Linked DNA regions of Tamandua tetradactyla. The protein of the gene in region 2 binds, or shares a complex with, the protein of the main gene of each other region. Links are inferred from orthologs where the notes say so. Each region holds a gene or a part of one and is shown on either strand. Other genes may lie near its edges.

Evidence for each region.
Region 1: the proteins of PLEKHM2 (region 2) and ARL8B are in contact, whole or in part, in a crystal structure (PDB 8JCA), measured with the Homo sapiens proteins. The link is inferred for Tamandua tetradactyla from reciprocal best matches to the Homo sapiens genes PLEKHM2 and ARL8B. Residues at the interface, in NP_055979.2 of Homo sapiens: His70, Phe71, Thr72, Arg73, Arg74, Glu75, Glu103, Ser105, Glu107, Ser108, Tyr109, Arg111, Leu112, Glu115, Glu147, Phe148; in NP_060654.1 of Homo sapiens: Glu22, Thr52, Val53, Gly54, Phe55, Asn56, Met57, Lys68, Trp70, Arg77, Phe78, Arg84, Tyr85, Arg87, Gly88, Val89.

Annotation. Positions count from the first base shown.
Region 1 is NC_135335.1:44,398,605-44,406,622, reverse strand, and holds the start of ARL8B (ADP-ribosylation factor-like protein 8B), read left to right. Parts: upstream 1-5,009; 5' UTR 5,010-5,212; coding exon 5,213-5,335; intron 5,336-8,018. UniProt on the Homo sapiens protein: Small GTPase which cycles between active GTP-bound and inactive GDP-bound states.
Region 2 is NC_135328.1:210,183,868-210,191,779, forward strand, and holds the start of PLEKHM2 (pleckstrin homology domain-containing family M member 2), read right to left. Parts: upstream 3,091-7,912; 5' UTR 2,663-3,090; exon of another isoform or gene 2,279-2,662; 5' UTR 2,268-2,278; coding exon 2,091-2,267; intron 1-2,090. UniProt on the Homo sapiens protein: Plays a role in lysosomes movement and localization at the cell periphery acting as an effector of ARL8B.

The DNA.
Region 1 (8,018 bases), on a different chromosome or scaffold from region 2:
ACCACAAGTATTTCCATATACCCAATTTACTTTACTCTTTGTCCCCGCTCTTATTTATTTATTCCTTATCCATATTTTTTACTCCTTGTCCATACCGTGGATAAAAGGAGCAATAGACAGAAGGTTTTCACAATCCCACAGTCACACTGTACAAGTTGTATCTTTATACAATTGTCTTCAAGAATCAAAGCTACTGAAACATAGCTCAACAGTTTCAGGTACTTCTCTCCAGCTACTTCAATACACCATAAACTAAAAAGGGATTTCTATATAATGTGTAAGAATAACCTCCAGGATAACCTCTTGACTCTGTTTGAAATCCCTCAGCCACTGAAACTTTATTTTGTCTCAGTCTCTCTTCCCACTTTTGGTCAAGAAGATTTTCTCATGATGCTGGATTGAGGCTCATCCCAGGAGTTCTGTCCCACTTTGCCAGGGGGAACATATTGAGTGTTGATTTAGGTAGAAATGGTCTCGGTCCTTAAGGGGTTTATAAATTAAAATTATTTCCTGAAGTGTGATATTTCCCTCCTCTGTGAATCAGTTTTACTGTAGGTAAATCTAGAATGGTCTTCAAGGATTCATTCATCTCTGATGCCGTAAAAATTTACCTTTCTTACACAGTCACACAGCAAATATGCAGGTCAATCTTATCTTTTGCCTCTGCGCCCTCCATCCACATTCCCAGGACACTGGGGTTCCTGACCTTTTACGTAATCTGTGAATGGATCCATGTGTCCGAGCACATGAACCTGGGTTCCCATTCTTTTAACTTAATTCTAGACAAAGATCAAAGGGAACAGTACACTGGGCTTTACACACTACTGAGCTCACCCAGCAGAAAATGCCTCCTCAGTTAAAACAGTAACTAAAGGTGGTGTCCTTGCTTCTATTTTAGAGATGAGAAACTGAACCTTTGAACTGTTAACCAATCGTCCAGAACTACTATAATAATTAGCATTTAGTGAGTGCTAATGCTGCATTGTGCATTGGTATTGGACTCTTCCATTTACACCTCACAATAACCCTCTGAGGCAGATAATAATGGTATCTTCTTTTCCAGGAAATGGAGGCACAGAGAGGTTGAGCTCCTTGCCCAGATCACACAGCTAAGATCTGTGTGATTGGAATCAGTCAATTTAATGATGTAGCCAGTGCTCAATAATTATATTATCTGCTTTTCATTACCTTACTTAATCTAATTTAATATTATTTTATGTAATCCTCATTTTAATGCTGTGAGTTAGGTATTATCAATGATTTGCTGGTAAATGCATAACAGCTGATTCTCTGGGAGGGAAAAAAGTCCTAATTCAAAGTGTTTGTCAATTTCTGAGGTGTAGATACTTCCCCCCGTGGTTAATTTCAAGTTACCAAAAGTGATATTTCTGAACATGGAGTAGGGAAGAGATGCCCAGTAGCCCTCTGTTGTATATCCACCACAGGGATACAATTTCGTTATATATATATATATATATATATATGAAATTAGCTTATTTATTAATTTATTGTTCATTGTCTATCTCTTCCATCAGAATGGAAGCTGCCTGACAGCAGAAACCTAAATGCCTACTAAGTAGCGTTCCCACTACTAACTAAAGGCAAAATCATTGCCTTTAGTTAATGTAATAGCCTCCTTACTGGTCTCACTGCTTCTGCTCTTGTCCTCCTGCAGTCAGTTCCCCTTGGAGCCACCAAAGTGAACTTTTCAAAAGCTCCCACTATACTGAGAGTGAAATCCAAACTAGGGCCACCATGTCCTACTTCACCTGGTCTGACCCTCTTTCTCCATCCTCTTCTTCCACTGCCTCTCTTACTAATCGGCGTTTCTCACCCTGTCTTTCGGTCCCTAGAACATGTCCTGTTCCTTCCACCATCAAGGTCTTTGCTGTTCTCTCTGCCTGGGATGCTTTTGCACCAGATGTATGTTCTCTTTCTCACTCACCCAATTCTCTGCACCCAGGGCTGCCTCCTCCAAGAGGGCTACTCTCTGCCTCCTTCTCCTGTTCAGTTTTTTCCATAACATTTATCACTACCAGGCATTATATCCTATATTATTTATGGTATTATATGTGTCCCACACTTGAAGGTAAGTAAACTCCATGACAACAGGGGCTTTTTCAAAAAATTGAAAGCCGTAAGGATATTTTATTTGCTTTTCAATCAAATTAAAATTTGGAACAGGCAACCCATTTACATGGTTGAAAAGTCAAAGAGATATAAAAAGGTACCCAGAGGACTCATTCGCATTCATGCCCATGGCCACCTGGATCCCATAAATCCATTTTTTATCACTATATTATTTATCCTTCCAGTATTTCTTTATGCAAATATATACGTGCATATATTTTCTTTTCTATCTTACACCAAAGCACTTTGCTTTTTTGTTTCTTGTGAATACTTCCTGGATGTCATTCAAATCTGTCCATAAAGAACTTCCTCGTTTTGTTTTTTTTCTCATTCTTTTTTAAAAAATAATTTTTAAGTTTTTTACATTGTGTTACCATATATAGAAAGCACAATATTTGCCATTTTAACCACTTTTAGATGTGCAAGTCATTTGCAATCAATGCAAATGTGCATTGATTACTTTTGCAGTATTGTGCTACCGTTACCACCTTCCATTACTAAAACTTTCATCATCCAAACAGAAACTCTTTACCTGTTAAGCAATAATCCTTCATCCCCCCTTCTGGTTTTTTTTTTTTTTTTTAGAGGAGTTGTATGTTTGCAGCAAAATCCTGATAAAACACAGAGTTTTCATATACCATCCTATTATTAACATCCGTCATTAGCATGGAACATTTGTTGCAACTGATGAAGGAATATTTTTATAATTGAACTATAGTGCATGGTTTATCCTAGGGTTCAATGTTTGCTTTGTATAGTCCTATGTATTTTCTTTTTAAAAAATTTATTCTAGTAACATATATACAACCCCAAATTCCCCCTTTTCACTGAATTCAAATATACATTTTAGGGCTTTTAATTATGTTCACAATGTTGTGTTGCTATCTCACCATCCATTACCCAAATTTTCCCACCATGCCAGATAGAAGCCCTGTACAATTAAAACATGAACTTCACATCCCCAACTGTTACCTCAGTCCCAGGTAACCTAAATTATAGTTTTTTACTCTATGAATTTGCGTATTCTATTTCATAACTGTGAGATCATACAATAGTTGTCATTTTTGTGTTTGTCCTGTTTCACTCAACATATCTCCAAGCTTCATCCATGTTGTCACATGCATCAAAACTTCATTTTTTATGACTGAGTAATATTCCATTGCATGTATAAACCACATTTTGTTTATCCATTCATCAATCAATGGACTCTTGTGTTGCTTCCATCTTTTGGCAATTGTGAATAATGCCACTATGAACACTGGTGTGCAAATATCTGTTTCAATCTCTGCTTCCACTTCTTGGAGGTCAATATTTAGTAGTGGGATTCCTAGGTCATGTGATAGTTCTATACTTAGCTTTCTGAGGAAATGCCAAGCAGTCTTCCACAGTGGCTGCACCATTTTACATTCCCAACAATGAATGAGTGTTCTTATTTCTTCACATCCTCTTCAGTACTTGTAGTTTTTCAATTTTTTTAATAGTTGCCATTCTAGTGGATTGGCTAATGACATGGAACAACTTTTCATGCGTTTTCTTTTTAACATTTTCTTTATCGTGAAATAGAACATACACAAAAAGCAATACATTTCCAAATACATTTTTACAAGTAGTTGTAGAACAAATTTTAAAATTTGGTATGGGTTATAGTCCCAAGATTTTTCATTTTTTCTTCTAGCTGCTCCAGAACACTGGAGACCAAAAGAAATATCAATATAATGATTCGGCAGTCTCATTGGATAAATCTTATCTTCTCTGTTATACTCCTTCTCTCTCCTTTTTTTTGTGATAAACAGCATATATACAAAAAAAAGCAATACATTTCAAACTACATCGCAACAATTAGTTGTAGAACAGATTTCAGAGTTTGGTATGAGTTACAATTCCACAATTTTTCATTTTTACTTCTAGCTGCTCTCAGGTACTGGAAACTAAAAGAAACATTGATATAATGATTCAGTAATCATACTCATTTGTTAAACCTTACCACCATCACCTTTGATTTTTCTCTCACTTTTTAGGGGTATTTGGGCTGTGCTCACTCTAGCTTTTTCATTTTCATGTTTTTTTTCCATTTGTATATCCTCTTTGTAGAAATGTGTATTCGAGTCTTTTGCCATTTTTAGATTGGGTTATATATCTTTTTGCTGTTCAGTTGTAGGATTTCTTTATATATTCTGGATAGTAAACCCTTATCAGATATGTGGTTTCCAAATATTTCCTCCCACTGTGTAGGTTGTCATTTTAATTTCATTACAAATTCCTTTGATCCACAGAAGTTTTTAATTTTGGTGAGGTTCCATTCATCTGTTTTTTCACTTCTTGCTTGTGCTTTGGGTGTAAATCTCAGAAATCACTGCCTAACACAAGGTCCTGGAGATGCTAGGAGTTTTATAGTTCTCGTTCTTATATTTAGGTCTTTGATCCATTTTAAGTAGATCCTCATTCATTTTTTACAAGTCTGTAGTATTCCATTTTTGGGATCTAACATAGTTTATTTAATCAGATCCTTATCGTGGCTTTCTATCTTTTCCTATTACCAACAATGTAGGTCAAGAATTTTTATCCCATGATGAATTCCTCAGAGTCCTGTAGTCTTCTGCAAGGGTTAGATGCACAATGAATGAATGAATGAATGAATGAATGAATGAGTGAGTGAGTGAGTGAGTGAATGAATAAGCGAGTGAATGAGTGACTGAGAGAATGGAGATGAGTGAAGGAATGATATTAACCAACAATGAATGAGCTAAGGAGGGGTGATGACCTAGGACAGCCGATCGGAAGGCTGAGCTGCGGGATAGCCCCACCAGGTGGCGTTGCGCGCGGCGGGCGCACCTGGCCAGAGAATTACGCCGCTCTTGCCGTGGGCGCCGGCATCTGCGCGGGGACGGACGTAGGGGGAGGGCGAGTCATATGACCCGCTCGGCTTCCTGGCTCCGGCCGCCGCCGCCCGCCAGTGTCAGCCCGCGTCGCCCCGGGACCCCGAGGAGCCGTTGAGGGGTCCGGGCTACGGCCCGTTCGTGTGGGAGCCGTTGCCGCCACCGCCCGTCCATCTGGTTGCCGGTCCTGATTTCTAGCCGCCATCATGCTGGCGCTCATCTCCCGCCTGCTGGACTGGTTCCGCTCGCTCTTCTGGAAGGAGGAGATGGAGCTGACGCTGGTGGGGCTGCAGTACTCTGGCAAGACTACGTTCGTCAATGTCATCGCGGTGAGCTTCGCCGGCCCGCTCGGGGTTCCGTGGTGCGCGAGTCCGGCCCAGCTTTTTCCCTCTGGCTCGGGTTGGGCTTTCCTCAGCGCCAGGGGACAAATGTCGAGGGTGGGGGGAGAGGCGAGAGGGCTACCAGGCCCGGCCAGGATTTGGAATTCCCCGCGAGGTGGTGGCTGACGTGTAGTGCTGAGATCGGCAGCTGAAGGGTTAATTCCGTCTAGTCATTTTCGAAGGACTGTGTCTTCGACGCCACTGGGGCTTGGAAAGGGTTAAATTGGACTTGCCACGTTTTTAAAGTGCTTGAAACTGGGCATTCTCTCGAGTTTGCTCAGTAAGGGTAACTGACGGGTTAACTCTGGACTGTCATTTTCCCCGTAGGGTAGCTAGACCCTCAGATTTGCGGGAAAGCGAAAGGATTAAGAGCCTCCTTCAAATCACCACTTGGGACGAAGGGCTCCTTTATGAGAAAGGCGGGAGACCAGTACGGTCTGAATTGTATATGCTCGGTTTGGCTCCTGTAATTCTACAAATCTCTCTTTTCTTCGGTTATTCCTTTTCGCTCATCTTCCAGGGGCCGAGATCCAGCTGATTGCTGAGCCTGCTGCTAGAAGCTGGGTAGGGATAGGACTAGTCAGTCGACGGTAGTTCAACGATATTAATCTGTGGTGTTAGGGGGCCTTGCTTTTGCAGAGCTAGTTGTTTTAAACGAGGAGATGCAGTGTGGTCAGCAGAGTTTATTACCTTGTGAATGAAAGGTTGGTCTTTTGAGGATGTTTGTCACTTGAAGAGAAGAGAAGGGATTGAGCAGAAACACGGTTTATTCCAGGCTCGGGAATAGGTTTCCAGTAAGGTCATTTCCCAGGGAATTTATACATTGTGGTGTTTATTCAGCAATGACTGAATGGAAGGATGATTAAGATTCTTTTGTTAATTGGTTTGTTGGGGAAGGAACAGAAGTGAAGCATTTTTATCAGCCTTTATTTAGAGCCCAGGGGTTGCTGTGACTCAATCAGCCAATAAGAGTTTGTAGAGGCCAGGGATTAGATGTAGAACAGTTCTAAAGAGAAATGCCATCAGTTCTGTCTCCTTTAAGATGACATTTGAAATCCCTGTTTAGCAGGAGACTAGGAGTTCAACTGGTTTGGTTACAGGAATGACTCAAACATGTTTTGTTCTCTTGTTGGAGAAAATAGGTAACTTGTGATTCTTAGTCCTTGCAGTAATATAGCAACAGGAGTCAGTAAAACTTGAAAAAAGAGAGATGAATACAATCCAAACTGCCTCTGAGGAATGTTTCATTGAAATATAAAGAAAACTTGCTTGTTTATTGGCTTTTTTTTGTAATATGATGTTCTTTTTTTGGGGAAAGGAAACTTGAAATGATTATTTTTTTTCATGGATATAGTAGTGTGAAATGTGTATCTAAAACCACTAAAAATACAGAAAAACAAGCTAAGTATCCATTTAAGAACTTTCATATGTAGAAAAGAGAGACTTTAACCTGAGTGAAGCTGAGCTCAGTTAACTATATAAATTTTATCATGCTCCTTTGAGATAAGAATTGGAGTCACTTTGTAAATCCTATCCCTTTGATCAGATTGATCTAATTTATAGTGTAGGTACATATACAATTCTAATAATTGTGCTTGTTACAAAGCAGTAGTTGTATTTGGAAAAGTTAAAAAAATTGATATAATGATGAAGTCAGGCAGCCTTGGGTTTGAAATGTAGCTCTGCCACTTGGCAGTTTTGTATCCTCTTTGAGTCCTAGCTTTCCTATCTATTAAATGGGAATAATAATATATTCCTTACAGAGTTGCTTTTAACGTCTGAAATGACACATGTTAATTGAGGAGCAGCATGCCTAGCCATGATAACTTATTTGTAGTGAGTAACATCATTTAATGCAGAAACAATGTTTTGAAATGTATTGAGGAGGGACTCAGCTGGGGTCATTTCCTTTTTTAAATCTCTGTATGCATCCAAATTTGGGCTGCAGTAATGGATTTATGGATTGGGGCAAATAATCACATCATGTCTCCCCCCCATTCTCTCTTTTTAGTATTAGATTATTTTACTTTAAAAAAATCTAGAAATCTGTTGAACTCAAATTGAATCATTGGTTTCAATGTTATGTTAATGTTAGATTATATTGTGTTTGAATTGTAATGGTATACTAGGTTCTCTTAAGAAATATGGACTGTAACTGGCTGTGGCCTTTAAAATGGCTCAAAGAAGGGAGGCCTCAGGAAACTTCATGCTTTTTTTTTCTTCCTTTTAATTTTTTTTGTCTCAGACTCTAACCTAACTTGTGATTTTTTTGGAATATAGTGAGGGGGAGGGAAAAATTGATTAAAGTTGATTTTACAGACTTTCAGATAGAAACAATGTATCCAGAAGAGTAAATTTATGCTTACTTTTTTAAAAAGTGACTCGGCTCTCTGTATTATAGAAGGCTTTATTTGTAGGCTCAGAGAAGTGCAGATGTATTGAGCACTGTGTATCACTTTTGAAAATTGGGCACCTATTTACTCAGATTTAGCAAGTAACTTCCCAGATTTCAAAAGCTTCTTCTAAAACCATTTGTCTTTTTGTCATACTGAATCATGTCAGTATTACAAAACTTTTGTAAAAATTAAAGTAAATCTAGCTATATTTTCTCTCTTAAAAGTTAAGAAAGATT
Region 2 (7,912 bases):
GTATTCTTGGTGATGGGAAGACAAAGGTCAGAAGAAAATAAAACAACTAAATAAGCAAGGTCAGCTGAGAATGATGAGAGGGGGCAAAATAAAGTGATTTTTTGTTAAAGTTGTTTCTCCCTGGAGTCCATTAACTACGAGTCACGTTCAGAGACCACACCTTATACCTTGGATTTGCTAGGCTGCTCTTTGCCTGCTCCTGATTCCTCGAACTTGCTTAGGCCCTGAGACTGAGAACGGGTGGGCTGCACCCGTTGGGGCTGTCTCTCAAAGCCAGGAGGATGGCGCTCCTCCTAAGAACTTGGGGAAGACTGGCCTTCCCGGATTGCGCCAGGTCCCGTGGCTGCAGGGAAACGTGGGTGGCTTTCTCCAGCAGGCCAAGAAATGCCTGCACTGAGCATTTTAATTAGGGTTGGTCCCACACTCTGTTTGCTCTGAGCTGCCAGAGCCTAGCCCTCTCTGTCTCATTTCTCTCTTATAGACACACAAAGAATGCAAAACTATTTCTAGTACTATGGTTGACACCAAACAATCTTTCCAGAATTGGTCTGTAAAAGCTAACCCTAAGATGGCTGTGAAAGGTTATAAATGGCGAAATGAAAATAAAATGGTTATGGATGCCCTCCTTTTGTACATTCTCCCTGGTCGAGCAAAACCAAGAAGAGGTTATAATACTAAACAGATCGGGTGCTCTGGATTCTAACTCTGCTACCAGCTCGCAGGCTGTACTGGAGGTGGAGGTGGGGGGAGAGAAGGGTCACCACTTCTATATTTATGGAGCAGGATAAAAAACTACTTCCCCTACCCACCTCGAGAGAGTTTGTGAGGCTAGACAGGGAAGCGGCGTGCATGTTTTAAACTGTCTGACCACTCTGTGCTCCATGGCTGTGCCGCTGATCCCTGCTCACCACAAGGGATGTGCAGCTCCCTTCTGCTGCCCAGGGAGAGGTCGCCAGGTAACAGCATCCTCCCTACTGGCCCCGTGGAGAACAAACGTATTTAGACAACAGAAAGAGTGTGACAACTGAAGGGACGAGCCTCGTAGGGACCAGAACGCTTAGGTATTTTCACAACCTATGGTTCCCCAAGGCAGTTAAATCCTTTTCCTTCTTACAAGGCAAGTGTCCAAGCTCAAGGAACAATGATTGTTCCGCCTCTGAACTCAGCAGAGCTTGACCTCGTACATAAGAACCACGGATTCCTTTCAAAGTGGGAGGGAAGATGGTAAAAGGCTCCGCCAAGAGGTCCCTAGGCAAACAACCAGAAGGCAACCAATGGCCAGAAGGAACATGCAGCAACCACGAGTCCACTCAAGCCCTTTTCTGCTGGGACAGGACTGGAGCTGCAGGATCCCCGTGCCAGGGCCGTGCTTTCTGAGCGCCCCACGCTCAGTGCTGTGTGTGGCACTGGCAGGAGGAAGAGAGTTTTCAAAGCATCATTTTAGCCAGTCCTCCAAAGCAAAGAAGGCTTTACCGGGTCTGTGTTCATCTCTCACTTCCCTTTTCCTCTGCTGGACCTACAACATGACCTCATGAGTGCATGATGCCCTGTTTGTTACTACGGAAAAAGCGTCATCAAATCCCTGTTTAAATCACATTAGGTCTGGAGGTCACTGGGGAGATCCTTGCCTGCTTTCCAAGTCCCAGATAACACAAATACTTCACAGATTGAAAATGTAAATCCAGGGCTAAGAAGAATGAGAACTTCATGGACTACAAATCCACAGGAATGTCTGGGAGGGTGTACACTGTCCCACTGCAATTTGTTTCATGTCTGTCTCCCCATCTAGAATATAAGCCCCATGGGGACAGAAGCTTCTTGGTATGTTTTGATCACTGCTGATTCCTAATGCCTAGGAATGTACTCAGCACAGAACAGTCATTCAACAAATACTTGTTAAATGAATGGGTGGTTTTATGGGGGACCAGCCCACAGGACTGACCTGTGGGGACATATTACCTGTCATAATCTCAAGACAGACATCACAGAGATGGAAAAGACTCAGAGATTGAAGGAGCAGGAGCCAGAAAATAGTTCAAATCCCAACTCTGCCCCTACAAGCGTCATAACCTTACGTCTCCAAATCTCACCTCCCTCATGTATAACACTGGATCATAAGCCATCCTGTAGACCTGCTCCGAGACGAGATGAGAAAGCACGTGAAAACACATCACACAGTGCCTGGCATACAGCAGGTGCTGACTCAGTGTAAGGATTCTTGGAGGTTCTGTAACTCCCCTGCCTCCCATTGCGTTTGGATACTTCATGCCTCAGTAGTCTGTTAACACCGAAAAAACAAAGGACTTTGGGGGAAAACGTGAAGAGAAAAAGTTAATTTCTCACTAACATTAAGTCTAGAGATTTTTATGGATTTCACTAGTCTCTTCCTTGTTCTCACATCTGATTAGGCTTCTTAGAATCTGTTAGTTCCAACCTTAAATACAAATTGTGGGGATTATAGGAAACTAATACTTTCTTTCTCATTAATTTCCATAATATTTGTACACACTTATAAGCAAGGGGGGAAAGATAAATCACAAATACGTAGAATGGGAGATAATGATGGGGAGGCAGGGCCAGCCGCTTTGTTGAGAAGAGCGGACCTGCATTCAGGGCCCTGGGACAGTTACAATAAACAACAGCTCCAGCCAAATGGACTCACCCAGAAATCTTCCTTGTTCTGTCTCAAATGGAAGTTTTAGGATGTTTGCACCTTGAGCAAGCAACAATGAGGAGACGGACAGGGCTGGAAATGAAAGTTTGCTCAAACAAGCCAGGCCTGCTGGCTAGTTTACTCTCAAGGAAGAGATTCTGGGTTTGGAGTTGTTCATTTTACCAGGTTTCTGCACTGCAGAGCTCCAGCTGAGAAAACTGCCTTATCAGTGAGACTACCTGGAAAAGTCCTTTATCCTAAGGGAGAAAAGACTTTCCTTAGACACAGGGGTTCCACGAGCTTCACGCTCTTGCCATGGTGATGAATCCTGAGGTCTGAGACAAGCACCAGTGACCCAAGAGTGCAGAAGGACCCAGAGAACCCCACGGGATCTACAAATGCCAACCTAACTCTCCCCACCGTGCTCACACTCTTAACACCAGCTCCTTTCTTCCCATATTCTGGACCTAGTCCCACCCTCTCACCCCCACCCCCACCCACCCCAAGAAATCTTGCTGGGAATTTCTTTTCAGTGCTCCATCTGAAACTCCCAAGTGTTAATGGTTGCTGTGATCAGAAAGTCAGCTGTAGTTCACCCCTTTCAAACAGGGAGCCTATTGGATGGAGTTACTCATAGGCTGGGGAGCCCGCTGTGCACACCTCAGAGGATCCTGGCTGGGGACCTTCTGGATGGCCTCGATTCTGTAGAAGAGAGGAAAGGAGAAGAGAAATAGCTGCGGCCTCTGCTACCAACATGAGCACATAGGCAGAGGAAGAGGAAGCCAGGAGAAGGAAACCTGGTCCTTACCACTTCCACAGTAAAATACATGTGCCTGAAGTATTTTATTTAGATCTTTGCCCTGGTGTAGGTCCTCAGGGATTTCAGAACATTTAAAACTCTTAAGAGTTTTTTTCCATGAGATTAGAGAGAAAAACCCAATTAATCTAAACCAAATGGCCAACATGATTCTCACAGATATCAACCAGTCCTTCTCCAGAATTTTCAATCAGCAGCTAATTTTTAACGCAGTAGCAGATCTAACTTATGTGTGGAGTGGGAAAATAGGGAAAAGCTCATCAGCCCAGGGGGGCCCTGCAGCCACCCAGACGGGCCGGGTTGAGCAACAGCTGCAGCTTGGTAGATCCTGACTGGGACTCCTGCTCAGCATGGGGTGTGCCCGGCCGGAAATAGAACTGCACTCAGGGCCTCACGTGGCCGGGCGTAAGTGCCTGCCACATCGAGGAGGCAGGCGGGAGGCCTAGGAAGAGATGGCTGTGGCTCAGTCACGGGCGCTGAGGGATGACTGTTTCTTAAAATTCATTTGTCCTACTTTAGGGGAGCGGAATCATGGCAGAGGAGAGGGAGAAAAGGGGACTCATTTTTTTACATCATACACTTTTGAGCAATTTGTGTGGCTTTTTATTATTAGTATTGTGGTAACATATATAAGCAACATGAAAATTTGCCATTTCAACCATTTTGAAGCATACAAATTCTATGACATTAGTTATTTTTACAGCATTATGGTACCATCATCTCTTTTCACTACAAAATCTTTTCATCACCCCAAAATAGGATTTGTGTTTTGTTTTTTCGCATGGGCAGGCACCAGAAATTGAACCCGGGTCTCCGGCATGGCAGGCAAGAACTCTGCCTGAGGATTTGTGTATTTTTAAAAATAACTACTTATTATATATTTAGAATGATTTTTCCTTGTTATCCTAGTCAGTGTTTCTTGCTGGATACAACATCACGTCCTTAGGGAAGTCTTCTGGGACCACCTCCTCCAAAGCAAGCTTCTGGCTGATTCCTTATATTATCCTGCCTAGTGCCTTCTTAACACTTACTGGGATCCAAATTAATCTTTTTATTATCTGTCTATTAATTTATCACTCATCGTCTGCTACTTGAATATCAGCTCCATAAGGGCACAGACCTGATTTGCCTTTGTTCACTCCCATAACCCTTAGGCCTAGAACAGTGCCAACACATAGTAAGTGTTCAGCAAATATTTTCAAATAACTGAATGCATAGACACTTGATGGGACTTAAAAGTGTCCAGTTCCCTCGACAAGGCTGACCTGATGGGCAAAGACAGTCACAACAGAGAGGTGGGTAAGTGCAGGACTGGTCACACCAACTTCTCTGAGAGTGATTCCCAGTCTACCTGGGTGAGGACTTCTTGGGCACACACTCATACATACACATATACATGTTCTTGTCTGTAACTATGGTTCATTTCTCTTCTCTAAACCTGATATATACTTTTGAGACAAGGGTTTGGGTCAAGGAAAATAACAGGGGTCAGGAAACTACAGCCTGAGGGCCAAATCCAGCCTGCTGCCTAATTTTATAGATAAAGTTTTATTAGAACACAGCCACATCTATATGTTTACGGATTACCTACGGTTGCTTGTGAGCTACAAGGGCGCATATGACCCATAAAAATATTTACTATCTGGTCTTTTAAGAAAAAATTTGCAGAACCCTGAGCTTCAAGAAACTGAGAAATGCTATAAGACTTTAACTTAAAAACTTCCCTGAGTAAACTGCAGGCTCACATGACATTTGTATGTAATAATAGTAGCTAGCATTTTATTTTGGCCCTATGTGCTAGGTATTATGCTAAGTGCTTTAAGTATATTATCTCATGTAATTTAATTCTCATTACAATGCTAGATGTAAGTTCTGGCTGCTGAGGCTAAAAGAGGTCCAGTAATTTTCTGGGGCTACCATGGTCAGTGAGGGACCCAGAATCGGAACCTGGACCCACATCTGTTTATCTCTGTTGCAACTTATATTCATACGGTTTTCACAAAAGCACTTTCCAGCCACATGTAGCAGAACCCCCAGTGCTCTTGAAACTGGTCTGTCTCCTCACTGTCCCCAAAAGACCACCTGAACACCCCCACTTCCGTGGGGAGGCTTAGACTCCTCCCATCTTGTACACCTACTTATTTTCTTTCTCTGAATTCTACCCATCTGTCAAAATCAATTCAGCCTTCCTTCACTGAGGGCTTCTCCTTGTCCTAGTTTTTTTTTTTTTTAATTCTCTCCCCAGCCAATATACAAACTGTTGGAGGGCAGAGACTGCTGCTTTTCTTTTCTTTTCTTTTCTTTTTTTTACATGGGCAGGCACTGGGAATTGAACCCAGGTCCTCAGGCTTGGCAGGCAAGCACTCTTACCTGCTGAGCCACTGTGGCCCGCCCCAGAGATTGCTTCTTATAGCACAAAGCCTTAGTTCACACTGCATGCAAATGCAACAAACACTCAATGCGCTTCAGATGTTAAATAAAACTCCCATGAAAACCACTGGCTTCCCTCTCCTGGAGAAGATGCTACTATTCAGTATTACCACACGCCAATTCCAACATCAACATTATAGCTGCCTTGGACCTTTCTCTTTAAGTATTAAATCAGTAACCACAAGCTTTGTTATCTGCACCTGGGATGTTTTTGCTATCCCTCTTCTGAAAAGTATGACACTTGCTTCTCCTTATTGTCTTTATTTGTATCAACTATTAAATCCCCCAATTTCCCTTAACCCCGGAGAAGCCTGGCTCCGTATCAGAGAACACAGGTTTCCTTCACTGTGGGTGGGATAACAGCTGATGCATCAATTTGGTCTTCCAGTGCATGCTTGTTATCACAAAATCTAGGTGTGAAAATAGTTCAACTCACCAATGCTGCTTGGGGATGGTGATCACTGTTGGGGGTGTGGTTTCAGGGAAGGGACACATGAGCAGGGCTTCTGGGATGCTTGTCATGTTCTGTTCCTTGATTGGGGTGCTGGATATGTGGGTGTATTCACTTTGTGAGAACTCAAGCTGCACCCTTAGGATCTGTGTGCTTTTCTGTAGGTAAGTTATATGCAAACACAGAGATACATAATGCATCTTTCTTTGCAGAATTTACACATCTCATTTATGTAACATCCTTAGGGAAGGCACTTTACTAGTGGTAGGATGGAAGAAAAAGGCCATGCAACTATTAAGGCGCTGTAGAACAAATTTAAGTGAGACTGGTCTTCAAAGACAAATCTAACCCCAAGACTGCTGACCTTCAACACCTACTACTTAAGGCAAATTTACAGATTCTTACTAGAAGCAGCGACTCTGATTCAGAAAACCAAATACACTTGATAATGCAAGAATCGTATCACAGTTCTCTGAAATAAAGCATACAAAGGAAGTGGCTAACAGGTCTAAATGGTATTATATAACAACCTTTAGCACTTGAGACATCTTCAGACCTTGTAAAAGTGAGAAATTGGCTCTACCACAAACAAGCTACCATTTATTAAGATGGGGGCGGGGGGTGTCAGGCACCACGCTAAATATCCTACATACATAATTTCATTTAATCTTCACATCAACCCTAATGCTACCTCTGCTTTACAGATGAGGAAACTGAGGCACGGAGTGGTAGAACTCTTAATTAAGGATTATTAATTGACAAGATGGGGATGCAAGCCCAGCAGCCAGACTCTAGAATCCATGTTCTTAACCATGAAACTAGTCACATCTTTGATTATGCACCCAGTTCCAGTTTCTAGAGAGCAACTTACATTTTCTGGAGGTCATTATAGCTCAGTCAAATGTGCTTGTCCAAATGTACACAACTATAAGTATCTTGGCAAACACACTCAACTCTTTCATAAATGAGAGCCTGGTTTACAATGGATCCGTGCCTCCACAATGGATCCGTGCCTTCACAATGGATCCGTGCCTTCAAAAGACCCGTGCTCACATAGGAACAGACTGCCCATGGCATCACCTACTCATCCAGGGACCGTCCCCATATATCTAGAATCGAAAGACAAAATGTTCAGCCCAAATGTAGCCATAATCGATCCAGATTCTATTGGAAACATCAGCAGTCTTGCTTTCTCTCCCATTATGAAAGATGCAAATACTTTAACTGAGTATTTTGCTCCTCCTACTCTCCTTGAGTAAGCAAAAACTATATCCCATTGCATTAGCAGAGCTCCAGAAAATTAATACAACTCTTGTTGGGTTTCAGTGGTGGTAAACTTTTAACAGTACTTTCAGAGAAACATTTTGGTAAGAGCTTTTTTTTTTTTTCCTGCTTGGGCAGGCACCAGGAATTGAACCCAGGTCTCTGGCATGGCAGGTGAGAACTCTGCCTATTGCACCACGGTGGTCTGCTCTGTTCTGCTTTTCTTTTTAAGCCACATTTACCTCTTCGAAATGTAAAATTGCTTGCCTGTATTACTGTTGGGGAAAAAAGCACAGTT